Linked DNA regions of Elephas maximus indicus. The protein of the gene in region 2 binds, or shares a complex with, the protein of the main gene of each other region. Links are inferred from orthologs where the notes say so. Each region holds a gene or a part of one and is shown on either strand. Other genes may lie near its edges. The genes, in order: HLTF and S100A10.

Region 1 (16,156 bases), on a different chromosome or scaffold from region 2:
ATGGCAACAAGTATGTGTTATACTTTTATAAATTAGGACTTAAACATACAGCAGCAGTCTAGAAGAAATCAAGCCAGGTCTAAAAAATTAGAAGTAACTTGAGGCTTACCCACCACACACAGACTCAAGCCCTTTTAACAATGACTAAGAAAAATAACAGGAAGTTTCAAGAATTACTTTTTAAAAAAATTAATACTATAAAAAATTTCATTTTTACATTGTAAAAATTTCAAAAAATAGAAAAACATCCCACATATAGTCATGTGTCTTTATGTATGTATAAATACGTGTGTACGGAATATATTTCCTTATCACCTCCTTCTTTTTACATAAACGTTTACAAATATGTATGTACCCTATTCTACAATTATAACTTAACAACATGTACGAAGATCGTTAATATTTGCATATACATATTTGCCTTTTCCTTTTTAACACCTCGACCCTCAACATTTTCAATTCAAATTTGGATTACAAAATAAAAGAGAAGCACACCTGTTCAGTCGTCATCTGCACTGCAGCGTGAACTGGCATACTGTAGCTTGGTCCCGCTCTTCCAGAGCCCCAACCACTTTCCACACTGAATCCTAAAGCTGTTAGTTTACAAAACGAAAACAAAATCACGAAATAGGCATTTTTTGCATTAAGTAGTTTTCAAACTTACATAATAAACTATATTAAAAATTCCCTTAATAGGTCTTTTAAAAAAAAAAAAAAAGCTAAATCCTAAACCATTAAAAAAAAGTATTAAAATAATTCCATGTTATTTGAGCAAACTCTTGCCAAACAATCCTTTTCTTCTTGTCTATAATTTATCAGTAAGAATGCTGAAAATTCAGGATTTAGAGATGTTACCACCAAAAGAAACAGAGTAAAGGGTATATAGGACACCTTCCAGCAAATGTTTTTGTTTGTTTTTGCAACTCCCTGTGAACCTTTAATTATTTGAAAATAAAGAGTTAAAACAATAAATCTGGAATTTCCTTAAAGAGATGCCTAAAAAAAAGTTGTAACTTGGAACCTTTACCCCAAATTAGTTTGGCCAACCAAACTCAAAGTATTACTTAAGAGAATAAACGTTTTACAATCAAAATAATAGTCAACAAAACCCTAAACTTACTTTTTGGTGGAGGAATCAGTTTAAATCCATGTTTCTTCAGCTGATCTAAAACTGCTTTTCTATTTTCTTCTTTTCCCCAAAAAGCCATATGGAGAGGCATGGTAAAAGCATTGTTTGCACCAAAAGGAACTACCCTATTGTATTTTGGGGAGAAAAAAGTGTGAAATTAGAAGTGTGAATTTTTTTTTTACCATTGAGAATCTGTTAAATATTCTAAGTGTACCATTCAAATGCTGCATGCGAATAAAATAAAAAGGAACTAGGTTGGACAGACCAGAAAAAGAGGAAAAGGACAGGGAATAGAATCAACAACAACCAGAAAATAGTAGATTTTAAGAACAGACTGCCAGAAGAAACTGAGAAAGTAGGATAAAGCAATTTTAAAATACAAGCATAGCCTGTGACAAAGATTATAAGATAGGTAAAACAGTATAAGAGGATAACAGCTTTGGTTAATAGGGCCACCAAAGACAGCAAACCAGTTGTGCTGGGAGAATGGGAAATGCTTCATAACAACTATTTCTGATGCACAATTCATTAAAAGTTTATTCTCAATACCTTAAAAACTTGAATTTAAAAAGGAGAAAACAAGTAAAGGAAGACACAGCTAAGCAGTTTACCATCCAAACTCACCTTTTCATATCCTAAATATTCCAAATATTTGAAGAGATCAGAAACATAAATGCCTTGAAAAAAAAAAAAGATAACTAAAGAGGCTCAGAGTTTAAAAAAAAAGAAGTGGTGAAACTAGAAAGTTTATGTGCGCCCCATCCCAACAAACAGCTGCTACTCAGCTCCAGTCAACTGATGCCACGTGGGAATGAGGGTCTACCATTGCCAGATATCCCATTTGTCAAGAGAAAATCTCTGTAAATACATTTTACGTTTAGAAAGAAAAGCTAATACATATAAAATGAGAAACACCCTGATATTTGAATGCTAAAATGAATGAAAAAAGTTTTAACACTGTGCCAGCTGAAACTTGGCTACATCTGATGACAGGCTGCCAGTTTATAACCCCTGATTTAAACACTTCCAGACTCCCAAGCCTATGTAACCAAAGATTTTGAGAGACGTATGGATTTCCTAATATTTGAACCAAAGTCTATATTTCTCCAGTAGGAAAGTGAGAGGATACCTGTTTCATAGCTGGAGTAGTGGAGACTTAAGAGAGGATGAAAACACTTACTAAATACATACTAAAGGTGCAGTAATAAAAGTTCTTAGGTGATGTAGGTTGCACAACATGATGAACGTAACTGATGTCACTGAATGGTACGTGTAAAAAATGTCAAAATGGCAAATGATCTGTTACACACCTCCTCACTTATCGACTACCTTGTTATCCAACATTCACATTTATGACATTAGTAGAAAAAGCTACTATCCAACTATGTTGCACATTAACAACATAAGCCTGGTAGTAACGAATGCCAAGGTGTGAGGCAAGAGCAATGCTGGCTTTGATGGTTAAGGTTTTGTGTTAACTTGGCTGGGCCATGATTTCCAGTGGTTTGGCAGTTATGTAATGATGCAGCTTGGCAGTTATGCAATGATGTAGTCCTCCTCCGTTTTGTCAGCTGATTTGGTCATCCTCCACTTTCACGTAACACTGATTTTGCTTAACAACCTGGTCTTTGGAATCTAACCATGTCGATAAACAAGGAGAGGGTTTTTATAGATTTATCACAATTTTTAAAAATGTTTTTAGAGTACCTACACAGGCGCTAGCAAGGAGCCTTAACAAGTTCAGAGTTAACTACCAATCCCCAATTATTAAAACTAAACTCTCAAAGTACATTACCCTTCAACTTGAGCCAACTTGTTGTCCATGATATAGGCCAAAGCAGCTGCAAGATCTTTCTTAACATGGCCAACCTGATTTCCATTCACGTTGTTTACTTTAATCGCATTCTTATCATAGGGGTTATTAGGCTCTCGTTGTAAAGCAACCATTTCATTATTATTAACCTAACAAAAATAATGAGCAGAAGTTAACACTTTACTTCATCATATTTTATCTATTTTTTAATGCTTACTGATAAACATCATATAAGAAAAGCATTTTTCTTGAAAGCAAACCATAGAAAAATTAAAGAATATATTTTATAGTAATTCTTTTTATAGTGCTTTTCTAATTTACATTCATTGGGAAGTTAAGAAATTCCTGATATCTAAAAGCTCACAGATTTACACTATCTAAAATTTCTAATATCACAACTTCTGAAAAACAGCAAACCTTTACTGAGTGCCTACTATATGCTAAACATTATTCTACGTACATTAAATGGATTGACCTGTTAAATCCTCACAGACTTGTAGGGCAGTTACTATCATTATCCCCATCTTACAGATGAAGAAATTAAAGCATAGAAAAGTTAAGTAACTTGTTCATGGTCATAAAGTTATGAGCAGAGCTGAGATCTGAACCCAGGCAGCCTGGTTCCTCAGCCTCAGTTTTCCAAAATCTAAAAGTGAAAAATAAAGGTGTTAATTATAAGGCAGACAAGAACTGGAATAAGAAAAATATATCCTGCCTTCAATTAATGCCATTCTCTGATTTCACGTGACTGAAAGTTGCCCAAGAGTGTTATCATTGAAGATGGCAAAGTAAGGACCTCCAAGAACTTTCTCTTCCATAAAAGCAACTCTGGAAACTAGCAAAAGGCTTATGACAACCTGAATAGCATTAGTTCAAGAAAAATAACTGAGTTATCAGTGCCATAGTCCCATCCCCTGCTCTCCAACTACACGGTAGCCTTTAAGAATAAAAGCCTACTGGCATTCCTGACGTAGCCTGACAGGGACTAGAGGAAGCAGAATGGATAAAGTTCTTTCAATGTCTCACTCTCAGGCACTGAGTTTCCATTAATGGTGACAGAGTAATTTGGAAAAAGACAGGGGTAAATGGTCACACAATATCATGAATATGATCAATGTATTGAATTATACACGTTAAAAGTGTTGAATTGGCAAATGTGTCTTATACACTTTCTGCAACGAAAAAGAAAGTCTCATTCCCAAAGAATTATCATTATTTGACCAGTCTGGTGGTTCCCTAGAAGACCCACTTGCAAAGCTGTTTGTATTTGACCTAACAGAAAGAGATAATCACAATAGTAGGATAATATGACCTCATTTTTATTAATATACAATATGATTGCAATTTACATGCACACAGAGAAAATTGTGGAAGAAACATCAATGTGAATAAGGTATGGTTCTGAATGGTAGGTGTTAGGGTGATTTAATTCTTTTTTTCTTTTAGCCATTTTTTAAAATAATGAACATGTATTACATATAAAATAAATAATACACCTTTGTAAAAATAAAGAAATTAAATGCTAATGACTTTTCATCAGCATTACATATAAAATAAACAACACACCTTTTTTAAAAAATGAAGAAATTAAATGCTGATGACTTTTAATCGGCCTACCACATTTTTATTAGATTACCAATGTCATAAAGATTGTTCTGATATCAAATAGTGATTGTGCTCAGAGTAATAACACAGCAGAAAACCATAACCTAATATTTTACCATTGTTTAAAGTAATTTAGAAAACAACATAAGTTAAAAAAAAATAGAACAAATCAGAAATAGAAAAGCATAGAAATTACATGGTTAGGCAAGAGATGGATATAAAATAAGAACCAATAGAATTCAGGAAATAATTAGAAAAAAGAAAAACCATTTCTGGATTGAAGACAAAAGCAGAAATAACACAAGAGTGACCAGAACTTGTGAAAAACATGGCAAGGGAAATAAATGACGAAAATTAGGAAAGCAATAAAAAGGATTTCAAAGGAAATAATAGACATGGGCTGAGAAAGTCTAACATACAGAGAGATTAGTGAAGAAAAACTAAAGCTATGAAACAAAACAAACATTTAAAGCTACAGAAAATTTTCTGAAATAAAAGGAAATTTGAACTTACAGAAGAGTCAATACTAAGTAAGACATACCATAACAAAACAATTGGACTTTCAAGATAAGGAAAAACATTCTTTGGTCATCCAGGCAAAAAAATTCCAATACACTTATATGGGAGATAAAACCCTACTGGCATCAAGATTCTCACCAGTAATATTTTATGCAACGTTAAGGTAACATAGGAAGAAAACATGGGCCAAGGATTACATATTCAGCAAAACTGCCCTTCAAGTATAAACTCCTCAACTATGAACACGTAAAAACTGAGGAAACATTGTTCCTTTCCATAGAATTTCCTAGTAAATATCTTTCAGACAACTACAGAATGACTTGAAAAAAACTTTCAATATAAAAAAAAAATTGGGAAAACAGAAGCATAGACAAATCCAGAACATAAAATTTCTACGCAAGGAAATCTCCTGCAGAACATGATTCAGACAACCAAAAAACGATCTGAGAAGCTTCAACCTAAGAAAAACATGGGGCAGTGGAAGAAGCAACAAATCTAGAACATTCTACAGAATAACACAGCTGGTTTCTACAATAAGTCAATGACATGAAAAAAAACGGCAGGAGGGTTACGAGGTATAATAACCAAAGGTAATGTATGAACCTTCTTTTGATGCTGATTTGAAAAAACCAACTATAAAAAGACAAGAAAATCTGATTATGAATTACTTCTTACATGTAAGAAGAAATTATTAACTTTCACTATACAAATGACACAAAAATGTAGTTTTAAAAAGATACACACTGAATTATACAGGTGTAAAATGTTGATATGTTTGGGATTTCCTTTAAAGTACAAAAGAACAAAGAAAAGGAAAAAGGGATACACGAAGCAGATATGGAAAGATCTTGTGAACAGTTGAATATAGATCATGGTTATACAGGAGTTTATAGTCTACTTTTATGTATGTTTTAAATTTTTCATAATAAACAAAATTACGTAACACAGAGGCATACTAGACCACCATAACAAATTACCGACCAGAGAAAGTTACATTCTCTTTCGGACACACACGCGCGCTCGCGCGCGCAACACAGACAAAATGCAGAGGATAGAGAGCTACAAAAAGACAGGCACAAAAGAAAAGAAAAAATGGGAGACAGGGACAGTCTTCACTACAGGAAAAGAAAAAAGACAAAAAGCTCTTAACAATAGACAATTCGCTTACACAGCAGGAGCTGATCTTCCAAAATTAAAATGCAGAAATGCACTAAGGGCCAGAAGAGGAGAAGGCAATGGACTGGGAAGTCATTCCCAAATACACCATTTAGTAATCCGTGTGTTTTGGGCAAAATGTTTAGCCCCTTTCTGAGCTTCAGTTCCTTCATTATAAAAAGGGGATACAGATGTCCCATCTGCCTCAGAGTTATTGCTGGGATCAAATGAAACAGTGCAGGCAAAGTGCTTTGTATACTGTAAGCATAAGAGAATATTAAGTCAAAGTAGTTCAGTTATCTATTATCTCTTGCCTGGATATATTCAATTACTTAGAGTAAAAATAAATATTAACTGCACATATCCCCTTTTAGATTCTCTTATTTTCTAGGTTAACACCATAAATATGTCACAATTTAACTTAATATCTACTTTATACTCACTACTCCTGTATAATAGCGTAGTCCAACAACATGACCTCTCAAAGTTCCAAATAAAACAGAATCTAGCTCTTCATCACTAGTTAGGAAGTCGTCTGGAGGGATAATATCTTGGAATTCAAAACGGGGAAAGAAAGTAGGGTATGAAAGGCGTGAAAAATTTCCATGGACTCCATACTGGACAGTCTGCAAGTACTTCCAAACAGGATCTCTATTTAAAAAAAAAAAAAAAAGTCGTCACCGAAAAACACTACAATATTTAACCAGGTATTTCTCAAAGACCATACCAGTTATCTATAGGCCAGTTTTCTCACACTTTACTCACACAGCAAACGAAATCAAATGTGTGAACCATTGAATATACACTAAGAGTTACCCTGGTTAAAACAGAGATTGGGGCAGGAGAGGTTTCCAGGAACCTTACCTGTTGAACATAACCTCCTCCACACCCAAGGTATTCAGAATGGGAAAAAAAAAAAACACTAACCCCATTGCCGTCCAGTTGACTTCGACCCTAAAGGACAGAGTAGAATTGCCTCATAGGGTTTCCAAGGAGCGCCTGGTGGATTCGAACTGATGACCTTTTGGTTAGCAGCTGTAGCTCTTAAGCATTATGCCACCAGAGTTCAGTGTTCACAAATTTCTTGATTAGCCTAAGGATAACCAATCTATATGAGATGGTATATGTGTGATGTCTGTAACTACACTTATAGGCCAATATTTCAATGTGGATTGAGCTAGAAGAGACTTGCCAAAACGGCTCAGCAATTTCTATATTTACAGATAATCCAGCCCATCCCTGGATTATTACAGTAGACACGGATAGCTTATGCAGCATTCACTGCTTTCGTTTCCTCCGCAAAGAATCCTTATCTCACTCAGGTAGTCAAACCCTGCCATCACGGGGAGCTGACCTCAAGCCCCGCCCTCTCCCCGCTGGTTCCAGGACCACCCCAGGCCCCTCGTGGATAAAATGATGCAGAATTGGCATGAAGAGCGATTCAGACAATGAAAGTGAGGGCGAGTGTGGTGGGCGGGGGGCCTTCAGGAAGTTTCCCCTCTCCTAAAACCCTGCTGGTGTAGTGGTTTAAGTGCTACGGCTGCTAACCGAAGGGTCCACAGTTCGGATCCGCCAGGCGCTCCTTGGAAACTCTATGGGGCAATTCTACTCTGTCCTGTAGGGTCGCTGTGAGTCGGAATCGACTCGACGGCACTGGGTTTTCGGGCAGTCGCTCCTTTCCCTGCGTTTGCCTCGCACATCACGCAGACCTCTCTGGCTCCCCTGGAAGCCTGTGTCTGCACGTCTGTGCACGCTCATAAACCGATCAAAGCCCCTCGGGGGCAAGGACTCTGCCACTCGGCCCTCCATCCCGAGCACAACGCCAGCGCACAGTGGCTCCCTAGGGGACGGCTAGGGGAATAAAGCACGGCCGGAATCCTGGCTACGGAGCCCCAGGCCCCCACAGCCCGTGACAGAGACCTCCCAAGGCCCTGGCCTAAGACTCGCCTGGGGGGCCACCCATCTGCAGCCTTTATTTCTTCCGCGGCCCCAGGAGCGACGGGCACCACAAATACGAGCGGCGCAAACAGCAGAGGAAGCGCGGCAGGGGCGCGGGGAAGGTCAGGTTCATCTGGGGACGCCGCCGCTCGGTTAACCCCAGCGCCCCACCCCTCCGGCCGCTGTACCTCCTGAACATCCAGGACATGGCGCTGCGCGGGGCGGCGAGGGGAGCTCCTGAGCGCCCCCGGAACGTTCTCCAGTCGCCTGGGGACGCCTCCTTCCAGGCCCCGCGGCCGGGAAGCCGGAGACAGGTTCCAAGCGCCCGAGGAAGAGCGCCCCACTAGACGATAAAACGCCGCGAATCCAGTCAGGCGTCGACGCTGTCCCTGCTACCAACAATCCGAGAGACCGGCGACCCTGTGTGACTGGCGCTGAGCGCGTCCAATCGCGAAGAAGAGCCTACGGAGACAAGCCAATCAGAACACGGAGGGGAAGGCGACTCCGCCCCGCGCTCCGATGTACCGAAGGTGGGGGCCCGGGCTGCAGGGGTGGGACCATCCGGGTCCTTCCCCGCCCCCAATGCGGGCGGGCGGGAAAGCCACGCGGTCCCCGGGGCCCGATTGCGGTGCCCGTGATACTAGGTTTTCTGTTTGATTTTCTGCGTCAAACGCAGGGCAGTGTCTCTTCATTCCTCTTTCCCCCCCAGCCTTAAGCCTCAGCCTCATTCTTCAGTCCCTCCCTGATCCTGCCTCCAATATTCTCCTCCTCTGATGGGACATGGAATAGGGTCTCCCATTGAATAAGTTGGAATCCACCAGCCGCTTCCCGGAAACCCTACGGGGCAGTTCTTTGTCCTTAGGATCGCTAAGAGTCGGAATCGACTCGATGGCAATGGGTTTGGTTTTTGGTTTTATGAGTTGGACGGTTTTCAGAAAATCTTAATTGGAACTTAGAGTTATAGAGCACCTCTCCCACTTTGGTTGTGTTTGTTGTTGTTTTTAATTAAATTTATCATTTCTTAATGCAGGAAAGCACAGCACTGTTATTTTTAGTTGCTGTCTGATCGTTCTGATTCAGGCAACCTTATGTATAATAGAAGGAAACAGGTCCTGCTCCAACCTCACAATCCTTGGAGAATTTGAACGCATTGTTGCAACCAGCATGTCAATCCATTTCACCAGGGGTGGATTACCTAGTAAACAAAGTAAGTGCGGACTTCCTTGTGCTTACTAATCTCTAGTGAACAATTTAACACGGATTTCACCATGCCACATCAAAGTGAAACCCGTGTGAAACTGCACTACGTATTAGTAAGTAGGTAGAAGTAAACCTGTGCTTACCCTGCTTACTGTCAGGGGTTGTAAATTTGAAAAGAGGCTTTGATTCTGTAGGGAGGTGCTGTGGGGCTGGGAGGGAGACAGATGCCAGCCATACCTGGAAGCAAAATTTTTGATGTGGTGAAAAAATGTGGAATTGTTCACTACAGATGATCTGGTAAGCAAGGTAAGGACTGTGTTTACCTTGCATATTGCATAATCCACCCATGCATCTCACGCAGGGTTTCTCTGGCTCCTGATGACTCTTTACCAAACATGGTGTCTTTTTCTAGTGATTGGTCTTTCCTGATGACATGTCCAAAGTAAGCAAGATGGAGTCTCGCCATCCTAACTTCTAAGCAGCACCTGGCTATACTTCCTCCAAGGCTGAATTGTTCGTTCTTCTGGGAGTCCAGGTATTTTAAATATTCTTCGCCAACACCGCAATTCAAATGTGCCAATTCTCCTCTGATCTTCCTTTTTAATTGTCCAGCTTTTGCATGCATATGAGGCTGTTGAAAAGACCACGGCTTCACTGCTTGGGTCAGCTGCATCTTAATCATCAAAGTAATATCTTTATGATACTTTAAAGAAGTCTTTTGCAGCAGAATTGTCCAGTGCAGTGTGTCTTTTGATTTCTTGACTGCTGTTTCTGTGGGCATTGATAACTCAAAAGCCATTGCTGGAAATGGTTGGGTCAAAGTTTTCCCTGAGGCACGTGTAGCTGCCCCAGGGAAGGAGCTTGTTTTCCTCCACGAACTGTTAGGGGCAGTCCAAGACACTCCATGGCCAGATTGCAGGAGTCTGAGGGGAACTCAGCCTTTGGTAGGTGGGCCAGTGAGGCGGCTGTAGCCCAGGGCATGCAGGACGGGTACCAGCCGGCTCTGCGGCCTTGGGAGCCAAAGAGAGGCTGCTACCAATTAGAGAGGCCTTTTTGGTTCAGCTGCACCAGAATTGGATGAAGCTGGTAATGGCTCTGAGCCACACCTACTTGCACATTGCAGTTGTCAGATTGTCAGAAAACAATTGCTGGGATCAAAGAGCAAATGTATTTGTAAATGTGATAAATATTGACAATTGCCCTTCAAAGAATGCTCCGTTTTACAGTCCCATTAAGAGAGTAAGAGAGGCAGTCAGTAAAGCAGTTTTTCTAGAGACATTTGTTCATTTTCCTAAATAAACTATACCCATTGCATTATCAACCCGTAGGACAGAGTAGGACTGCCCATTGAGGTTTCCAAGGCTGTAAATCTTTACGGAAGCAGACTGTCACATCTTTCTTCCTCGCAGCAGCTGGTGGATTTGAACCACAAACTTTTTGGGTAGCGGCTGAGTGCTTAACCACTTTGCCACCAGGGCTCCTAAATAAACTATGATGATCCGTAAACTTGAGCCAGAGTCCCTGAGTGGTGCAAACTGTTAACCATGCTAGGCTGTTAACCAAAAGGTTGGAATTCAAGCCCATCCCCAGGCACCTAGAAAGTCCCAGCAATCAACTTCTGAAAAATCAGGTGTTGAAAACTTTATGGAGCACTGTTCTATTCTGACACACGTGGGCTGTCATGAGTCGCAATCAGCTAGAGGGCAGCTGGTAAACATGAGCCAGCAGTGCAGTGAGAGATAGGTTTTGCAGCAATTTATTGATTTATCTCACCAAACAGAAGGCAGACGATGAGGAAGACGAAGATAGTAGCATTTCAAGTATCTTAGTTATTTTCCTTTCTTCTTGAAGTATTAAGTGGCAAGTGGAATGCAGTTCCATTTTTGGTGCGCCAAATTCTGCATAAATTCTTTGAAAATATGCCAGAAAATGCTCAGATCGATAATGTTTTGCCTGTAAAATAATGAATCCATGCTCATTAGACAGAAAGATAAAATTATGTGAGAATATAGGCGATCCTAGCTCTTTCTAGACCTAAGATCTATGAATAATGACACCCCCATGGCTGAAGATTGCCTCTCGAATGAAGTAAAAATTTTGCTGTTTAAGGTCAACATTTTTCTCGCTATTGTTACTATCTTACATCTCAGATCCACCAGTTCAGGTTGGACACAGTTTTTTACTTCATGATTGTTACTGGGTGGAAACCCCAGGTTCTTAACTCGGCGTGACTCGTATTGGCCAATAAACGAGAGATGGAGGTGGGAGAATAAGAAAGTCACCTGTATTTCCTTGTACAAGGAAAATGGAGTCAGTTGGAGCTAATGCTGCCGACCTGCTCCCCAAAGGCAGGCAGGCAGGTTACTTTTTAAAGGGGTTTGCAAGTAGGGAGTTCCTACAACTTACATCAGCAACATTCCTGATGGTATGATTCAGGTGCAATTGGTTTTACATAGAATCTCCAAGGAAAAGCAGCACTCAGATGCAAAGCTGAGTGGGGGAGCTCAGCAAAGGAAACAATTTTGCAATACAACACTGTAGGGGAGGAAGAACATAGCACTGTGGGGGTTCTGTCTCATTATTCTTTGTCCTTTCTTTTTTAAAAAAAAAAATGAGGTTAAGTGCAGTTTGTACTAGTTGGATTGAAATGTTACAACAGTTACAAATTCGAAAATATCACACTAGATGTTTTCTGGAAAATGAACTAAACATTTGTAACTGAAAAGAAACAAAACTGTAGTAGGGTGGCTTGTGTGGTTGTGAGGAGGAGAGTGGCATAAAAAGAGGGTGATGGGGAAGGTATAGGCCAGATTACATAGGAATTCATGGTCTAGAGCAAAGATGTATTCTATTTTAAATGCCATGGCAAACCATTTAATATTTGAAGCGGGAGAATGACAAGCTGATTTAGTCTTTTAAAAAAATCACGCTGGCGGTTCTGGGGTTAATGAATTACAGGAAACAAGAACAGAAGCAAAGGGACCCTCAGTTGATAATTAGAAACCATTGTATTCAGGTAAGAGATGATAATGGCTTTAATTATTGTTCCCCCCCCCAAAAAAAATATGTGTTGGAATCCTAACACCTGTACATATAGAGGAGCCCTAGTTGCACAGTGGTTAAGAGCTAGGCTGCTAACCAAAAGGTTGGCAGTTCGAATCCACCACCTGCTCCTTGGAAGCCCTATGGGGCAGTTCTCTGTCCTATAGTGTCGCACTGAGTCAAAATTGACTCAGTGGAAACAGATTTGGTTTTGGCTACTGGTCGTCCAAATTAATTATATCAGTCTAATGCCATCAGCATGAAATCAAAGAATGGCATGTGTGGCTATTTAAGATCTGTTCCTTCCCTCTTATTCCAGCCTCATATCTTTTGTCACTTCCCGCCCCACACTGCCTATAATGTCCTTTACTGACTTCTCTAAAAAATACAGGTACTTTTATACAGTGAAACCTGTGAGAGCCAGAATGCAACAGGACTGCCTTGTTTTTCTGGGTCTTGTGAGTTTTCTACCTTTGACAGGATGTAGTGTTAATAACACTTTGCTATCGCTCGTTTTAGTGGAAAATGTTTGAGTTTTCCTTCTCTGACAGGTTTCTGCCTTACATAGGCTCCAGCTTTCACAAGTGTAACTGTATATAACCATAAGGCCATTACCCTACCCAATATAATTAATAATAAATCAATCCTTGATGCATTCTAATAACTAGTTCATTATCAAATTTTCACAATTGTCTCAAAAAATGTCCTTTTACAGTTGGTTTACAAAATGGAATTTTGAAGCCTTTGGTAAAAAAAAAAAGAAAAAAAAAAAACTTAGGCAAAGACTCTGGAGTTCTAAAAGTCTGGCTTCCATACAAAAAATTCCCAAGTTTACATCATAATAGATTCCAGGAAAATGAATGATAATATAAGAGCTTGTTTGTTTGTTTCTTTCACTCAAAAGGGGAGAAAGTTCAACAGAGCCAGAGAATTTTCAGGATCAGGAATGAAAGCTTGGAGGGTCTTAGGGAAAGAATCAGGAATGCTATCACTTTGGGCCAAGCTCCACAAAGGCAGGAAAGTTTCCAGAGACCCCATAAGCAAAGGAAGCTGTAGCTCATTTCCCTACAGTAGCTTCAGTATTCTGCATATCTGCACAGCCTCAGAGACCAGAAACATGCCAGAGGAATAAAGAAATGAAGGTGAGGGAGAAGGTTTTGTGAAAGGGCCTGAGGACAGCCTTCCAGAATCCTGTGAGACTCCCTAGTGAGTCAGTGAAGGTAGGAGGCCCTTACCAGATCATGGTTCTAGCAACCAGAAGCAGGGGCCTGATGTCCAAAGATGAAGCAGGATAAATTATATCAGCAGTGGCTGCCTGCAGAAATGAATGGAATCCAAATATAATCCTCCTGGAAGATAAGGGAGTCTCTGATTGGTATAAAAGGTTAATGCACTTGGCTGTTAACCAAAAATTAAAGGCTTGAGTCTTGGAAGAAAGGCCTGGTGATCTTTTGTTGAAAAATCAGCCATTGAAAACCCTACAGAACACAGTTCTACTCCAACACACGTAGGTGGGATCCCCATGAGTTAGAGTTGACTCAATGGCAGCTGAGTTTTTTGGGGGGAGGGTGAGAGGAAGGGGACAGAATTTGAAACCTGAAATTGAAAGAACTTAAATCTTAAAATGAATGAATTGCCTATTTTTGTTTTGTGTTTTGAAGTTGATTCCAACTCATAGAACCCTATAGGACAGAGTAGAACTGCCCCATAGGGTTTCCTAGGCTGTAGTCTTTATAGGAGCAGATTGCCAGGTCTTTTCTCTGGAGGAGCAGCGGGAAGGTTCAGACCACAGACCTTTTGGGTTAGCTGCCAAACATTTAACCGTTGTACCACCAGGGCTCCTTACTGAACTACCTGGAAGTCACTAAGTTAATTTTTTTTTTTTTTAGGCAAACCGGAGGCCTAAAACAAATTAAGTTCAATAAACAAAAATAAAGTTTTATCTTGGCAAACAGAGTTAGTGATAGGTGTTCATATATGCTGTGCAGACATATACACACATATCTCGGTGAATTGACACCTAGATATAGCAGATACCTCTAGCTGTTTGAATTAGGGGAATTTTCATTTTCTTCTTGGTCCTTATATGCATGGAAAATGTTCTTTATATTAAACATGTATTGCTTTTTTGCTATAACAAAAAATGTAAAATATTTAGAGTAAGGAAGTTATGAACCAATTTTTAACTTTTATTAACAAATTTTAGACACAGAAAGTTGCAAAAATAGTACAGAGTTCCCTCATATCCTTACCTCATTTACTTTAACACCCTGCATAGCTATAGTGCAGTTATCAAAGCCAGGAAATTAACATTGGTGCAATACTATTTCTGAGCCTTCTTTTTAAGTAACCAAAGAGAATAAGGCAGAGGAAATGATAGAAAATTTTTTGTGTGTGTGAGTCAGTTATTTACAATTGAATTTTCTCACATTTATTCCGGGTAGAATCCTAGGTGAAACCACAGTTGACTGGGCAGAGGAAATAACGTAAAATTAATGCCAAGTAAAATTTTTCTTAATTAGATATGTATGTCATAGACTATACCTGCCTGATTATATAAAAGGACGAGATTTCGTTTTCTCTCTGCAGTCTCTTTTGCAGATTGCCTATTTTGTGTTTCACTGTCTGGTTTAAAGTTTATTCAAAAAAAATTCTTCTTAATTACATAAAATAACAAATGCCAAATGCCTGCCCTGAAGTAAGCACTCAGTAAACGCTCTTGTTATCATGACTATTATTGTTATAGAGTTATTGTCTAATGAGTCCTCCGTCATTTGACAAGGAATACGGTTGATTTAGGTAGACTTCCTGGTACAGATGGTTAGGATTGTTCCTAAATACCAGAATAACGCTGTTGCCAGAAGCCAGTTCATTTCCCAGGTGCATGTCCTTGAAACAGCCCGAATTGTTTCCAGAACAAAGAGACACTCAGACCCCAACTCCCACGCTGAAGAATCTATGGTGTTCCAGATGACACAGCCCTTTCTCAAGAGATAATTGTTTCCTCCTCCTTTAGGCCTTGGTTCCCTACATGCTCTTACCAGGCCCCCGCCGAGTGTTGCTGAGGCATCAGGCCAGCCTCAGATATGCCCCCTCCTTTGCTTCCTGCCCAAGGCCTTTTTCTCAGCTTCAGGGCAACACGCATGCGCCAGTCTGGGCTGTAGAATGATTTAAGGGTGACTCAGAATTGACTCCACAGCAGTGGGTTTTGTTTTTTTGGTCAGCTCAGATGCTAATCAAAATTTCCGCAGTTTGAATCCTTGGAAACTCTATAGAGCAGTTCTCCTCCATCCCATAGGGTTGCTATGAGTTGGAATCGACTTGAAGTCAATGGATTTTATCATGGACATAGCCAATGTTATTTTTTTATTTTAACGAAGACTGCAAGGATTGCTGAGCACTTTTCTGTCTCCTGTGTAGCTAGGAAGTTAAAAGACCAAAACATCAACTCTAGATGCACTTTTTGTATAATCAAAAACTCTATAGTGGGAAACTATATTGTACTAATAAATCATTGTTGTTCATCATCACAATTCATCAAACTATTGCCCCTGTTGCTTCCTACAAACCATATCTGCTTGAAAAATTTTTATTAGTCACTCCCTACATGAAACACCCTTATACTGGACATTGGAAATACAGAGGCGGCAATCTAGCTTATATGTGTAGCTTACTGTACCGCCTGTGCCTGTGTCAGGCTGGTTCAGTTCCCATCTGCTTTTCACAGGAAAATAAATTTGCTTGCCTATTATTAC
Region 2 (16,591 bases):
ATTCATGTTACTCCCTCCCCCTGGAATGCCCACTTCTCGGCACCTGTTTTTCATGCCCCATCCATGCTTGTCAAATCTGACCCAACCTTCAAAGCTCACTTCCAATCCTTCATCCTACATGAAGTTATTCTTAGTGATCCTAGCCAGAAAGGAGCCTGTTGTTAGCTGCCATCAGGTCATCCCCCAACTCACAGCAACCCCATGCAAAACAAAATGCTGCCTCATCTTACGCCATCCCAGGATCAGATGCAGATCAGGCTGTTGTGATTGATAGGGTTTTCACTGGCTAATTTTCAAAAGTAGATCTCCAGGCCTTTCTTCCTAGTCTGTCGTAACCTAGAAGCTGTGCTGAGACCTGCTCAGCATCCTAGCACCGCAAGCCTCCACTGACAGACAGATGGTGGCTGCACAGGAGATGTGTTGGCCAGGAATCGAACCTAGGTCTCCCACATGGAAAGCAAGAATTCTACCACTGAACCACCAATGCCTCAGAAGACAGCCTGCCTGTTCTAAACTCTTACTGGTCTTACCAGTTACCCCTGTACAACACTGGTCACACACTACCTCGTATCAGAGCTGTTCGTGAATGTACATTCTTCATGTTCCTGCCTACATTATGATTATGTTCCTAAGCAGATATTGCACTATCCAAAAAAAGGCAAGGTGGGGTTGTGGCAAGAAGGGAGGCTTTGAGACTAGACTTACCTGCCTTCTAATAGGACTGTGTGCCCTTAGGGAAGTTACTTAACCTCTCTGAGCTTCCTTTCCTCCTCTGAAAACAGACTTAGTATCTATCCCACAGGGCTTTGCAGAGGCTTAGAGATAATATTTGTAAAGCACAATAAATTATTATAACCCTAACACATCTAAAATACTCCATGAAATGATTTTAGGAAACAATGAAATAATTTCTGAAATAGTACTTTGTAGATGATAAAATTAGCATGGTAATTTTTAATAAGCAAGATTTGAAGTACATTTTTTATTCTTGTATGATCTGACCAATACAGACCTCAAAGATGCCCCCAATGATTGCCAACAAGTATATCCTCCCACAGCCAGGCACTTTGGCTTTTGGACTCTCTGTGCTCAAGACTATTAGATGAATTCAGTTTAAAGCCAAGTGGTAAAGCTGGTTGAATTCTTTGTTCTAATTAAGGTTTGGGTCCTTTCAGCACCAACCTCTAGTCATTAGTCCAACCTAACAGCTCTAGTTTCTTTCTTGTATCTTGATCACAGAATATCATTTTCCCACTGCCCAAGCCCTAGGAAATGCTATCAAGGGCATGAGCGAATGGGGCAGGATGCCAGCCTAAATCACAGCCTTCATCTCGAGCCAAACAGAAAAACCAAACCCAGTACCGTCAAGACGATCCCGACTCATCTCAAGCCAGCTGGGTAATTTTCTTTTTTTTTTTTAGTTGTCAGTCCTCTGCTTTCCAGACAAGGCTTCCTACTCCTTATTCTGCCACTCAGGAGACAACAAATCTCATGCACAGCTACTCACTCTGTGGCCAGCAGAGGGTCCCACAGCATTAGTTAGAAAGCAACGACACACCCTCTCCCAGTCTAAATTGTAAATACTGCCCAAAGCACCCCACAGCGGCCTCCCCTAGCTTCCAGCCAACAGGGCTGCCTGGAAACCCCAGAGCTAGCTGCTGGCTAGCATTGCTGAGGCATCAGCTCACACCAAGCAGTCAGCATTTCACAAGAGGTTTGAGTCACCAGGGCACCATGGAAGCACATTTCTGTTGCTCTGAGCCCTCCCCAGCCACATTCCAGCACCACCAATGAAGGCAGAGGATCTGTGGCTGAAGTAACTGTTTACCCTTTGATAGAGGCCCCAGAGCTTCTGCCTGAAACACCACTTGTTCTCAAGTTCTAATGAAGCAAAGAAAAACATGTTATCAGACTAGCAGACAACAGCTCACAATGGGCAGGTCATGTCTTGCAGAGTTCTCCCCCACTGCCAAGGTTCTTAGGACTCAGACAAGCTGGAGTTCTATTCCAGACTAATTACTTAACTCAAGGTACAGGGTGTTTTTGTTTTTTTCTCCTCTTTGGAAGAGATCCACAGCAGGAACTGAGAAATCAAGTTTTCTAGTGTCATGGTTAAAAATTAGTAGTGAAGGCCTAGTGTTACAGATTGAATTGTGCCTCCCCTCCTCCTAAAAAAATAGTGGTTTCTCCTTCGTTATGTTAATAAGGTCATATCAGTATAACCCATCACCATCAAGTCAAGTCCAACTCATAGCAACCCTATAGTACAGAATAGAACTGCCCCATAGAGCTTCCAAGGAGCGCCTGGTGGATTCCAACTGCTGACCTTGTGGTTAGCAGCCATAAATAGCTCTTAACCACTACGCCACCAGGGTTTCCTACCAGTGTAAGCTGGGTCCTAAAGCTCATTACTTCTGAGTGATAAAAAGATCAGAATAGACACAGAGACACACAAGGGGGAAAGCAGACAATATGTGAGGATCAGCTACAGGCCAAGAACACCGAGGAACCAAGAAATGTCCAGGGGCAGTTCTATTCTGTCCTATAGGGTCGCTATGAGTCGAAATCGACTCAATGGCAATGAGTTACTAGCAAGGAGGAAACCAAAACATGACTAAGACCCTGATTTGGACTTTCAGTGTCCAGAACTGTGAAAAAATAAGTTTCTGTTCCTTAAAGCTACCCACTTGTAGTATTTGTATCACAGAAGCCCTAGGTAACTTCGATACCTAGAATTTCCAGATTTTCCTGTCACCCACCCCAACCCATTACATAAGCAAACCCACAAATTTGTAACTGGTTTTCATCCTGGTTTCGTTTATCTCTTTTCTGGGTGTTTTTTAAGAGGCTGGACATAGTCAGCAAAATATTTAAAAATTACTAAAGGACTTCAAGGGACTGGTTCCTACCTTCGAGATGACTGCACATAAATACAGTATAATCCCCACAATAACCCACCTCCCAGGATAGGGATCTGAAACCCATTTTATGGCTGAGGAAATAAAGAGTGCATAGGTGGCAGTTACAAGGCCATGGTGAGAAAGGCCACAGAAAAGCGGTCATAGCACCGCCACATCCCTGTGAGGTAGGTATTACTATCAGATCCAGTTTACAGATGAAAAAACTGAGGTTTGGAGAGGTTAGGTGGCTTGTCCAAAATCCCATAGCTAATTGTGGCAGAGATAATAAAATTCACTTCCAAGTCTCCCTGAAACTGCACAGCCTGTGCTCTTACCCACTGTGTTCTGTAGCCTTCTATCTCTCCAACCTCATCTGTGTCACCCTCCCCTTGCTCGCCCTGCTTCAGACACACTGAAAAAAAAAAAAAAAAAAAGAAAGCCAAACCCATTGCCATTGAGTTGATTGAACTCATAGTGACCCTATAGGGACCCTGTAGGAGAGAGTAGAACTGCCCCATTTTCCAAGGAGTGTCTGTGGATCCGAACTGCTGACCTTTTAGTTAGCAGCTGCAGCTCTTAACCTCTAGGGTTTCCTCGGACACACTGATTGTTTTTAATTCCCTTATCAGACCAAGCTCCCTCCCACCTCCAACCCTTTCCAAATGCTCTCCTTTCTGCCTGGAAAGCTTCCTCCTGCCTCTTCTTTATTTGCAAACCCTAGTTCCTCTTCTTCCTCCAAGTCTTAAACGCCCCCACCTTGGTACAGCCTTCCCTGACTTTCTACCTAGAACCTGTCCCCTTTGATTCCTCTATCAGTCATACCACTCATTTCAAATTACCAATTTTTTGTTTGTTTGCTTTATTATCCCCCTTCTTTGTACTTTGTCTTTTCCGTGAGAATGTGAGGCCCATGAAGGCAGAAATTTGATTGTTTTGGTCATTGCTCTATGCTTTGTTCCCAGAAAGTGCAGGAATTAGTAAGTGCTCAGTAAATATTTGATAAATTATTATCAGAATTTGAAGCTCACCTATAGAATAAAGCAGATGGTTTCCAACCCCAAGCTAAGAGCTCTCCCGTGCTTTAAAAAAAAAAAAAAAGGCTACAGTCCTTCAGCTTCTATTGCTCCAAGAGCTACGTTAGCACAAAAGGAACCTCAGTTCAGTCTTCCTCCCTCTTTCTCCCTGTCCCCTAGAGAGGACTCTGCTCCAAAATGTTCACCCATAAATCACACACCAGGGACTTGGACCACTGAACAGCCTGCCTTAAACTCCCTAAGGAATTAAGCTGAGTGAAGGAAGCACAGAGAAGGTGAGGGTCTACTTATTCTTAGCAAACTCCCTGCTGGGGCTCGCTAAATGCCTTCATGATCATTGGCTTGTCCAGTCTTTTCTGTTGCCCCAAGAGATAGCTGTCAATCCCCATTCTACCAATAAGGAGACTTGGGTTCACAGTGATGAAATGACTGGCCCAGAGTCATGTACCTGGTAAGTAGGAGAGTCACTCACTCCCTGCTTAACATTCCCAGTGGCTCCTTCTTACCTTCAGAAAAAAGCTCCAAGACTCAGCAGAGTATCTAAGGTGCCCCAGGACAGGTACCCCCTCAGGACTCATTTCCATCTAAGGCCCTAGGGGCTCTACACTGTCCCCGTGCAGAACTGAAGGCAAGTCCTGAAATAGACATGCTTCCCCACAATTCCATGGCAATGCTTTTTCCTCTCGGCCTCCACAAAAATCCTCCTTGTCCTCTAAGATCCACATAAAACAAAAAAGTTGACAACCCCTAACAAAAATCTATCCTAAGAAAATAAGCATTTGAGAAAATATATCTGCTCAAAAACAGTTACTTTATATACAATTATTCTGAAAGCAAAAAATTAGAAACAACCTAAACATTCAAAAATATGGAACACATTTAACAATTATAATATCTCCCTATTTATGTATACCAGTACAGACACCTTTGGGGTTTTGTTTGTTTGGATTTCCAGCAGAAAGTCTTGACCAAATACTTGTAAATCAGTGGTTGTAAACTGACATACCATGGATGACTACTGTGATTCCTTAACCCAAACCAAAAACCAAACCATTTGCCATCGAGTAGATTCTGACTCATGGCAACCTCACATACTACAGAGTAGAACTGCTCCACAGGATTTTCTTTCCTGTAACTTCACAGAAACAAATCACTAGGCCTTTCTTCCACAGTACCACTGGGTGGGTTCAAACCACCAAACTTTAGGCTGGCAGTCAAGTGTAAACCATTTGAACCATTTAGAGACCTGAAACCTTAATAAAAAACCAAAAAAACCACTAGGCCACCAGGGTTTCCGAAACCTTAATAAGGCATTTTAATTGATGGATAAAGTTTACTTTTGCTACAACTATGATTCACACTGTTAACATAGTGTCTGGGCAGGCAGAATGTTAAGCTAGGCTGCACATGGTTTCTGTGTGCTGCACGGTACAACTTGATACACATAAGGAAACAAAGAAACTATATGCATTCCCTAAGACCTGCAAGAACTTTGTCTCATGAGTATCAAAGACTGAGCGATCACAGCAACAACTGTTCTACTCAGTGATCAGTGCTATATAAACCAAAAAAACAAACCCAGTGCCGTGGAGTCGATTCTGACTCATAGCGACCCTATAGGACAGAGTAGAACTGCCCCCATAGAGTTTTCAAGGAGCACCTGGCAGATTTGAACTGCCGACACTTTGGTTAGCAGCCATAGCACTTAACCAGTACGCCACCAGGGTTTCCATCAGTACTATAGTATAGTTAATATACATGCAACTTAATCCTTTCAAATGTGCTGCCAAAAATGCTGGCACTCAAAAGAAGCCCACTGTTTGATAGGGCTATGTTGAAACAAATAAACTTCCAAATTTCAGTTTTCTTTTTTACCCATATAACTATTCCAAAGCTGGTTGGTCTTCCTGATCAGCAGGTGGTTTTCCTCCACACTGTGATTCAGGGACCCAGGCTCCTTCCAACTGTGGCTCTTCCACCCCTAGAGGCACCTGGCAATTGGAGAGAGAGTGCAGAAAAGTCACCGCTGTTGCTTTAGTTGGCAAGCGACACACATCACTTCCTATTCTGCATTTGGCCACCAAGTGACACACCACACTGTCCCATTCTGGTCACAGGATCCCACCTAGGTGCAAGAGGTGCTGGGAACGTAATCCTTGGCTGAGCAGCCACTTCTCAGAGACAACTCTACACTATAGAAGGAGGAACACACATTTCTGTTAGACAGCCCGCCCTCTCTGCCACAGCCACCAACCCCCCAAAAAACTGGAAACCACTGGGTAATGGGGTTTTGTTGTTATGTGACATGAAGAAGTGGGAAAGTACCCAGGAAAACAATCCCTCCTGCTCCCGGCGTTTAGTGCACTGGAACCTGCCAGAAGTCTGGTGGAGAACTTGAACGTCGCCTCCTCTTCATTCCAGAGACACACCGGCTTGAGCCTCTGTTTCGTTTCCTCTGATGGCCATTCATTCTGCTCCTCTCCTCACCTCATCCCTTCACCCCCTGCTACAGCACCAGCCTTCCTGGCAGCTTGGGTTCAGGCTCTGGTCCCTGACTTCATTGCACGCATGTGGTTTACAAGGCACAACTACTTTCTGAGAAAGACCTGCCTGGGACCACTTCTCCTAGAAAAGGATTATAGGCATGGCAGGCTTAGAGCTTTATGGAGCAACTGATCCATAAATCATTAACAAGCTACATGAGAGCAGGGATAGTGTCCAGCATGCTGACCTTTTTCCCTACTGTATCTTCAGCATTTAACACAGCGTTTCAGAAACCCAAGTTCCTTCCCTTTTGTGAAGCTGGATCCACTAGGGCCTCAGAGTCCTCAGATTTCAGCTGGCAGGCAGGAAAGAGAGACGAGAGAAGCCACATTGCAGGTGAAAAGTTACTTGTTGAATGAAAAAACATAAAGGAATGAGCAAATGTACACTCACATTCCTGATAGATATTTAATGACATAAAAAATAGTAAAGATAAAGTATCACATGATAAAAGTAAAATAATTTGATAATCAGTGTAATCACAAATTGTAAATATATGTATATATGCATAAGACTGGAAGGCGATACATAAAGATATTTATCTTTGGTTCATGGGTTTACAAATTATTTTTTTTTTATATATTGCTATATTTTCCAAATCTTCTATAATAAAAAAGTAATCTTTTTACAATCAGATTTAAAAATCACAGTGTCGTTGCTTCCAGGTGGCTCAAACAACATTGTTGTTGGTAGTAGCCGTCACGTAAATTGTGACTCATGGTGACCCCGTGTGTGCACAGTAGAACTGTGTTCCAGGGGGTTTTCAAGGCTGTGATTGTTCAGGAGCAGATCACCAGGCCTTTCTTCCAAGGCCCCTTTGGGTGGGTTTGAACTGCCAACCTTTCAGCTAGTAGCCAAGCACTTAACCATCTGTACCACCTAGGGACTCCTGCATTATTGTGATTTTTAAAACATCTGTCAAATGTTGCTTCCCAAAAAAAATCATCCTGTGACTACTCCAAGGTGATTTGGAAGCCCTTCCTTAATGTTCCCATGGCGTCCAGAACACATGCCTCTGCCATTCACTAATCACACTAGATTTTAATTGTTTGCTTATCTATCTCCCAGTAAGACTTGGAGCACTTGAGGAAAGGAACTGATTCTTTAATCTCTGAATCCCCAGAGCCTAGCACATGCAGTAAGCATTCCTTAAGGTTTACTGACCAAATGAAGAAATTAAATAAGTGAATTGTGGTTGTGTGCCATTCAGTAGATTACAACTCGTAGTGATCAATGTGACAGAGCAGAACAGGACTGCCCCATGGGGTTTCCTAGGCTGTAATCTTTACAGGAGCAGATGGCCAGGTCTCTTCTCCTCCTCGGAGCTGCTGGTGGGTTCAAAATGCCAACCTTTCCTTAGCATCAGAGAGCTTAACTACTGCACTACAGGGCTCCTAAATGAGTAAATCCAGTTGCATCTTTCCAGGGACAAAAGGGACCCAGGATCGTCTCCACTGTGACTGTAAACTGAGGCCTGATATGAATTTGGGAAGTACATGGGAAGATTCTGAAGAACTGCCCCTGAAAAGTCAGCACCAGTGCAGGCAAGAGCTGAATTCCAAGTTGGATTTTCCTGGCAACAGTCAAGCTTAGCCACGTGGTAGCACTTGGAGGATTCCCTGAGTCTGCTCATTCCTTTGGGATCACTCACTCCTTCAGGATCTCCCCTGGGAAAGAAGTGTGAAGGAAAATCCCAGGGTTTGGGACTCATTCCTTTTCTGCCAATTGTTGCTAGCAGTTTACATTAAACCCTAAACCACAACTAAAATTATTAATGTCTAAGGTGTCACGGAGGGTGGCAGGTAGAATCCGGTAACAAACACCTAGGTTTTCTTTAAATTTCTTCAAGAAATTTCTAAAGATTTTGAGGGCCCAGCAGGCAGGCCAATTACAGAACAAAAAGAAGGTTTTGAACCTTCGGTTTTAACAGTTTTTTTTTTTTAGCCCAACTGAAGCTGAGCTATTGACCAAGTGAAGCCACATAAGCCGTGAAGGGTAAATCCCTTGTTCAACAAAGGGTCTGAAAAACCTCTAGAGCTGACAAGCCAAACACTCCCCTCCCTCCAGCACCACAGCGAGTCAGGCGGTCGGGGAGGGCGGCTTCTTCTGTAAATGCACGCGGATCCGGACCACAGGCCGCGGAAAGCCAGGGCTGATATCCCAGAACCTAATTCTAGAACAACTAAGTCTGCAGCGAACGCCTTCGCGGTGGTTAAGATTTCACGTGCCCCTCCCTGCAATGTCGTCTAGAAAATGTAATCCCTAGACCTTTTTGCGGGGAGACCTGTAGGTTACCGGAGAAGAGCCGCTTGCTTACAGCTGAGCTGGGTCTGGGCCAGCGCGCCCCACCCGCAGAACGACTAGGCTTTTTGATTTTCACACTCACCCACTTTCTAAAACCAAACCCGACAGGAAGGGCACGGCCGAGGGTGGGGATGGCCTGAAATATTCAAGAGTCTGAATATTCCTACTTGAAGAGGACTTTCGATAATACATGCTCACTTGGGACGAGAGAATGGCAATAGTGAAGCTCTTCTGCAAAACGAGAGCAGGGTGTCTGGGAGGCGCCCGTGGGGGGAGGGGGTGGCGTGGGGGGGGTGTGCAGGAAGAGGAGGGAGGAGACAAGGGGTGGGGTGAGTGGCGGCTGGAGCACCAGGCCAAGGCTCCTCCTGCTCCCCGCGCGGGACTCGCGCCTCCGCCCTCTCCCCCCCCCCGCCCCCACGTACTAAGGCGCAGTGCCTGCAGCGCTGCCCTCACTGGCCCTGCGTCCCAGCTCGCTGAGCGTCCGTGCCACGCCTCCCGGCCAAGGTGAGTGCCGCCGGACCCGCGCACTGCCCGTCGGCCAGGCGGGCTGTCCCTCCTGCTGTCCCAGCCCTGGCGCCTAGGGAAAGCCCCCGAGCCTGCTGCTCTGCCTGCCGGACCTGGCTTTGCGGAGCCCCGGGCACCAAGCGCCTCGGCGGGGAGCCGCTGCTGGAGAATTCGCTGCTCCACGCGCCGGGCCACACCCAGGCGAGGCGAGAGCGCCCCTCCCCGGTCCCCGCGCGGCCGTCCCCAGACCCTCGCGGGCGGGTGTGGGGCGTGCGCTGTATTTTACTACGGGACATGGATGTTGGTGCCCCTGGGCTTTTGCTCGCTCATTCTTTTTAATTTGTCTTCGTTTACGCCCACCTTTCCTGCATTTCGTCTAGTCTCCCGAGTTACTCGAACCCCGGCTTCTGGCCCCCTTTCCCGGCCGGCGTGTGTGGTTTCGTTGTGGGCTCCGGCCGCAGGCGGACCTCTGTCCAAGTGTTCGTAGCCCCCTCCGGCTAGACGACCCGAGCAGGCTTGGGGAGGGCTGGGGCGGGTTGGCAGCTGGCGGATTCCCTTCCTAAAGGAGACACCAGCCCCTCACCCAAACAGAAGCTTCAGGTCGGGCTTCCTGTTGTTTGTCTACCAGACGGGGAGATTCTCACTGCTGCGAGAGGGAGGACTATTGGTTTTCTCTATAAAGCGGGTTTTCTGTTGCTGGTGTTTTTTGTTGTTGTTGGGGGGAGACTGTGAAGCGAATCTCGACTGAATTAAGTTTTCTCTTCTTGTCATCTTCATTAAATAAGTGGCCCTGGAAAGAGATGGGGGAAGAGTAGTTTTCATGAAAGGTCTCCCAACCCCAGCGCAGTGAGACGGAGATAGAGGCCGCAGGCCATTTGTACCTCCTTCACAACTTGAACTTGGCCAAAGGAATGGAGCTTCTTTCCAGCCCTGGATGCTGCATTTCCCAGCATCGATCTTGATCCGCCTAACTGAAACCCGGGGCTTACTGCCATGTCGGGTGGGGGTGATGAGGAAAGCGGAGCCCTAGCCAAAGCTGGAATACGTTAAACCCCCCACCCTTCCCTCTCCGGACCTCTCTTCCCTCCCACGGGGAGCTGGAAGCATTCTGCAGGGCGGGGTTACCACTGGGGACTCCAGGATTCTCCTAGTGGTGAGGGGTCTATGACTCAGCTGTGAGACCATGTGGGTGTGGCCCTGCTGGTTCCAGAGACTGCAGATGGTTTGGACAGAACACTGCCTGAAGGAAAAAGGAACTGTGCCATCTTAGAGGACTCTTCCAGGAGGAAGTGAGTCACACCAGCACTGACGGGCAAGCTGAAGGAGAGTGCCTTGACTGAACTGTATTTGAGGGCAGTAATTAGACCATGGCACTGGGTTGGGGGGTTGGGGCAAGGGGAGACTGCTGGCTAGGTGATGGGCCTGCATGCTGCCTGGCAGCCTCCCTCAGCTTTCCTTGGGAGGTGGCTTTTCCTTAAGAGGTTTGCAGTGGCTACCGATTTTTTTTCGCCCTGCAGCTTGAGCTTAAATCTCTAAGACTGGATTTCTGTATCCTGTGCTTAGAGGTGAGGCGACTCATGGAAGCACCCTGTCAGTGATCTTTGCCTTCAAAGTGTTTCAGCAAATTGCAAAAGATAATGCCAAAATAAATAAATAAATAATGCCAGCGGTTGAGGCAGAAATAATGAGTTCATATAACTTTTTTCTTTTTATAACTCATTAGAAATTTCTTCATCAGCGCCGCCCCCACAGATTCCTGTCTGGATCCTATTTAATCATTCCCTTCTCCTTGAGAGCTAGAGGCTAGTTTCTTCGTTACGGTCCTTGATCCACCATTCGAAGCATCTTATTTCAGTGTTTCGCATTTTTTTTGAGGGTCAACTGGGTATAAAGCAATTGTTTGGTCTCACCCTGATGTCTAGGTCATGCTTACCCCTGGCTTTTTCCTGGATACAACATGGGATAAGTCCTTTTCCTCCCATGTCTGGCCTGTGGCCAGCCTCTCAGGCTGCCACCACAGTGAGGTCAGGCCTTTAGGCTGGGTGGAGCTGAGACGGGGTGCCTTTCTGCTTTCCACTGACATATCCAAAAATGTGGCTTTTTTAGAGCACTACCCACTTGGTATGCCCCTTGGACCCAGCCCAGTCTTTTAAAATGTAATGATGAGGGAAACAATGGAACCCTTTCAGTGTTATAATGTCTAAATTAGCATTCAGAGTGCTGGGAACATTTGATTAAAATTTTAGGATCTTTAAGCTTCTCTTTTTCCCCAGAACATAATTTCGGAATTGCCATCAAAATCCAAAACAATGAATTTACTTATTTTTTTTAGCAATTTTCAGGCTTCCTGTCCCTTCACCAAATAGCTGTCACCTACCCCCACCAAAGGATGTAATAGAGTTTGTCACAATGGCTATTGTTGGCTGATTCAGGTGGATGCTGGATAACTCTTCAAGGAAAAATGGATGTACTCTGCTGGGGACAAGGAGGCTTCTGAGTTCTTTATTCCTGTTGGGTCACATCTGGAATTTATCCTTTGCTGCCCACTTCTTTGGTGGGAAAGTTTTATTTGGTAAGAGGTGAGGGAGACAGCCTAGATCCACACCCATTGCCTCAGCTCATTATTTTTCTGAATTCCCTTTAAGGGATCAAATTCAGTTTTCAAAAAAGAAAGAAAAAAAATTGTTTTCAGAATTCCCAAAGCAAAAGGAAGGAAATCTCAAATATATTTGAAATAATAGATCTTTGTTATCACTGCCAATTATTTTCTGGGTGGTCTGTAAGAAAACTAGGGTCTGGATGAGACACTGAAGAGCAAAGTAAATCAGGCCTTTTGCTCTTTACAAGTGTCCTCTTTGAAATTACGACTGGATCCGGGCATAGGTCCAGAGCAAACATTCGGGATTGCTCAGGAGCAGACAATTTTGTAAGGAGGCCTGTTGTTCCCCTGCTACTTCCAGGTTGGTCAGATCTTACATTGTCAATCTCATGCTTACCCACTTATTGAGGAGGCACTGTGAGGGCAGGACAGTAGCTACTGGGGTCCTGCTCAGGTAGCGCACAGACTAATGAGGAAACAAATGCAAATAACTGGAATTCAGGACAGACTTTTAAGAAGTATGCCATTAGCTAGTGAACTTCTCAGAGGCAAGAACCATGCGTGTGTCTATCTGTCTGTCTGTCCCTTAGTGCCTGACACCATGCCAAGACAGGCAAAGTAGGTGCTCTGTGTGGGAGAGCCAAAAAGGGAAACTGAATTCCCATTACAGGGACTAAATTTATGGAGTCTAGAATTCTCTTCCATAGAGAAAATTACCTCGAGAAGGACTGCAGCTTCCAGGCCTCCACTCTTAAGTCGCGTTGCCCACACAAACATATACAGGCCATATCCAAGCATCAGAACGAAATGATTTAATAAAAGGCGCATGAACAGTGAGATGGTTAATATCCCATGGAGATCACCGGTGAGATAGGCATGAAGTAGAAGGTGGGATGAATGAAACATGAGAAAACACCGAGAGTGAGAGAGGAGAGGAGTCATGGCAGGGTCTGACCAGACCTGTTTAGCAGGACACATTTTTTCCTTTGCCTGTGGAATGTGTTTTTCTCTGTGCTCTACTGTTCCATTCAGAAGTGAGCCCTTTTGCGGTTCCTTCCTGGCCCTTCCCAGCTCCCACGTGTTCTCGCTGAGCTCTGAGCTCCAAGGTTTTCAGCCCAGTCCTGGGTGATCAAACCTGGACTTAGCTCCTGCCAAGGGGTCATTTGATTCATTTATCCGCTCGTTTAGCAAACAGGTCTTTAGTGGTTAACGGATAAAAGCAGAATAATTCACAATTCTTGACCATAAGGAATTTAAGTCTAAGATGGAGAGGCAGACAGACAGACTATGAAATGTGATCAAGTGGTTCAGGTGCTGGAGGAGGTGGTGGCCGTGGAGGACGCTGCTGCCTCTCAGCCCCGAGGCCCTCCCATCAGGGTACCCATCCAGGAAGCAGGAGGCCCACCGTTGCCCAGGAGTGGAGCGTGTCGGGTGGCTGGGGGGATGGAAACGCCAGTCAAGTCCCAGAACTGCTTTAGCAATCAAAGGTCAGTGCGGCAGCCCCGCCCCGCCCAGCCGCGCCCCGCCCCGCCCATGAAGGGAGGGCCTTGCCGCGCTCACTCAGTGGCGCAGGTGCTGCGCTCCAGAAAAAGGCCAACCGAGAAGGGCTACGTGTCGGTGGAGGTGATTCAGCTACTAGAGAACAGAGTCGTAGTCACAGTGTTTCCCCCCTTGTTTCTTAGTCTCTAACCAGTGTGCTGGCTCCTTCTTCAAAGCAGAGTTTCTTGTTGATAAACAAAAATAAACCAAACCCGTTGCGGTAGAGTCGATTCCAGCTTATAGCAACACTATAGCACAGAGTAGAGCTGCCCCATAGGGTTTACAAGGAGAGCCTGGTGGATTCGAACTACCCACCTTTTGGTTAGCAGCCATAACTCTTAACTACTGTGCCACCAGGGTTTCCAGCCTTGTTGATAAACCCTGATCAATACTATGAACTGAGACCAGGGCATCTCCTCTGACTTTAAACACTTAATTTCACTTTCACAACCTTACATCTCCCGGCCAGCCCCGGCTCTGCATTCTGATTGCTAAAGGTCTACTGGACAAATAGGACGTCAGCTGGCTGTTGTATTCACAACCCATTTGCTGAATAAAGCTGCCGGGAGGGGGAGGGGGAACCCAGTGGGGCAGCGGTGTGGCTTCTGAGACAAAAGCTCCATCACTTGGTAAAGTGACCTGAGACCCGAGCGCTCTCGCAGGGCGCGTAAGACTGGTTGGGAGGAAGAGATTCAAGATGGCTAGGATATCCTCACCTTTCAACTTGTATTTCTTAGAAGTTCTTGGATTAGCCTATCTTCCTGTATTAAGGGGTCTTGACCCGGGTGGCGCAGTGGTTAAGCGTTTGGATGCTAACCAAAAGGTCGACAGTTTGAATCCACCAGCTGCTCCTTGGAAACCCTATGGGGCAGCTCTCTGTCCTATAGGGTCACTATGAGTTGGAATCGACACCACGGCAACCGGTTTGGTTTTTTTCGTTTGTTTTTGCCCTACTGCAAGGAGCCCTGGTGGCGCAGTGGTTAAAGCAAAAGGTCGGTGGTTGGAATCCACCAGCCACTGGGGAGAAAGATGTAGCAGCCTGCTTCCGTAAAGATTAAAAAAAAACAAACCCACTGCCGTTGAGTCGATTACCAACTCATAGCCGTAAAGATTACAGCCTTGTAAACCCTATGGGGCAGTTCTACTGCTTCTAGGGTGGCTGTGAGCTGCAGTGGACTCCACTGCAGTGGGTTTGGTTTGTTTTGCCCTACTGCAGAGTCCCTGGGTGGCACAAATAGTTAAGCACTTGGCTACTAACTGAAAGATTCGAATCCACTCAGAGGCACCTCAAAAGAAAAGCCTGGTGGTCTACTTCTGAAAGATCACAGCTCACAGACTATTCTTGAGCCATTGAAAACCCTATGGAGCACAGTTCTACTCTGCAACGCATAGGGACACCATGAATCAATCTGCCACAGGTTTACCCTCCAGCATTCCCTTTCTTACTTCTGTGGTAGTGCACTCTGGGTTTCCTTCTGCTCTGCCCTGTGAAGAAGGTGATGTCCCACAGCACGTTTCAACTTCTAGGATCTGTAGGAATTGGAAATGAAGTGCTCTGCTGCTCTGAGCTTAGGCACAGGTATTTTTAAACATCTGTGGCACCTAACTCCTTCCCTGTGTATTTAACAAGTGGGGTAGGATTCCACGTTCATCTCCCCTGGGTGATTCACTCAGTTCATTTCTCTTAAAGCACACACGTGGCTGGACTTGCAGAACCAATCCAGGCAAGGCAGACTCCCTCTGAGTCCACTGCCATCTGAAACCCATATGGGGGATGGTGGATAAGCCAGATCTGGGTGTAGGAAGACAGGGGAAAGGGTGTGGTTTCCGCTGGTATTCATCTCCCAGTGGACTTCGCAGCCCTTTCCAAGGGAATTGCCCTCCAGATGAATTATGCCAGATTCTGGCTTATAGCATTCGCTAGAGTAGCACATTCTTTGGCACGCTGTTTCCCGTTCTTTTCTGGGGATTAAGGGATAGCGTATACAATTCTTAAGTGTAATTCCTCAGTCCTAGTGTTTACCAGCTCCACCTTCTCCTCTATAAAGGACAGCATTTAGGGATCTCTGTTGAACATGTAGTGGAGCCCTGGGTGGCCCACGGGTTAAGAGCTTGGCTGCTAACCAAAAGGTCGGCAGTTCAAATGCACCAGCTGCTCCTTAGAAACTCTATGGGGGAGTTCTACTCTGTCCTCTAGAGTTGCTATGAGTCAGAATGGACTCGATGGGAACGGGCCTGGTTTTTGGAAATCCTGGTGGCGTAGCGGTTAAGTGTTACAGCTGCTGACCAAAGGGTCGGCAGTTCGAATCCGCTAGGCGCTCCTTGGAAACTCTATGGGGCAGTTCTGCTCTGTCCTATAGGGTCACTATGAGTCTGAATCGACTTGACGGCACTGGGTTTGGTTTTGGTTTTTCTGGGTTGAACATGCATCTGTGGGCAGCAGGACCCAGGTGGAAAGCATACCTCAGGTTCCTGTTAGCACCCTTCAGAGGAGGGAAGTTGCCGGCCTCTCCTTCAGCCTGTGCTTAAAGTCAATTCTTGGGATTTTTGTGGGGGAGGGGGAAGGGTGAGTGGCATATTAGAGTCTTGGTTTAAATTCACCTGTTCCCTATCCAGTAGTGATTTTTAGGTTCTTTCCTTTTGCTCCGGGAAACCCTGGTGGTGTAGTGGTTAAATGCTACGGCTGCTAACCAAAGGGCCAGCAGTTCGAATCCACTAGGCGCTCCATGGAAACTCTATGGCGCAGTTCTACTCTGTCCTATAGGGTCAGTATGAGTCGGAATCGACTCGATGGCACTGGGTTTGGTTTTTGATTTGGGTCCTTTTGTTCTTCTCTGTTCCCTTCAGTCTAAGCTGATGGGTTTTCTGTTGTGTAGTTGGTTAGATTCCTCAGTCACAGGCTTAATCTTTTTAACAAAAGATTGTGTAGCCACGTCCTTGGTGAACATTCTAGGACACATATCCTTAGTTTGTACAACGGAATTTTCCAAATCTTTTTAAGTACTGTTTTCATTTTGCACAGTTCATTTTTAAGTCCATCTCTTTCTTCTTGCATTTTACTATAAGCAGCAAGGAGAAACCACACGGCCCCTTTAAAATCTTGCTTAGAAATCTCACCCAAGCTCATCGCTTACAAGTTGTACCTTCCACCAAACATTTGAACAGAA

The links.
Region 1: the proteins of S100A10 (region 2) and HLTF are in contact, whole or in part, in a crystal structure (PDB 4HRE), measured with the Homo sapiens proteins. The link is inferred for Elephas maximus indicus from reciprocal best matches to the Homo sapiens genes S100A10 and HLTF. Residues at the interface, in NP_002957.1 of Homo sapiens: Phe42, Asp58, Leu59, Asp60, Gln61, Gln70, Ser74, Leu75, Ala77, Gly78, Leu79, Ile81, Ala82, Tyr86; in NP_001305864.1 of Homo sapiens: Thr32, Phe33, Phe34, Pro35, Phe37, Phe39.

The regions. Positions count from the first base shown.
Region 1 is NC_064841.1:10,840,914-10,857,069, reverse strand, and holds the start of HLTF (helicase-like transcription factor), read right to left. Parts: upstream 8,579-16,156; 5' UTR 8,368-8,578; coding exon 8,348-8,367; intron 6,873-8,347; coding exon 6,665-6,872; intron 6,647-6,664; exon of another isoform or gene 6,235-6,646; intron 3,092-6,234; coding exon 2,925-3,091; intron 1,255-2,924; coding exon 1,121-1,254; intron 594-1,120; coding exon 496-593; intron 1-495. UniProt on the Homo sapiens protein: Has both helicase and E3 ubiquitin ligase activities. Possesses intrinsic ATP-dependent nucleosome-remodeling activity; This activity may be required for transcriptional activation or repression of specific target promoters.
Region 2 is NC_064821.1:186,185,085-186,201,675, reverse strand, and holds the start of S100A10 (protein S100-A10), read left to right. Parts: upstream 1-9,177; 5' UTR 9,178-9,286; intron 9,287-9,320; exon of another isoform or gene 9,321-9,492; intron 9,493-16,591. UniProt on the Homo sapiens protein: Because S100A10 induces the dimerization of ANXA2/p36, it may function as a regulator of protein phosphorylation in that the ANXA2 monomer is the preferred target (in vitro) of tyrosine-specific kinase.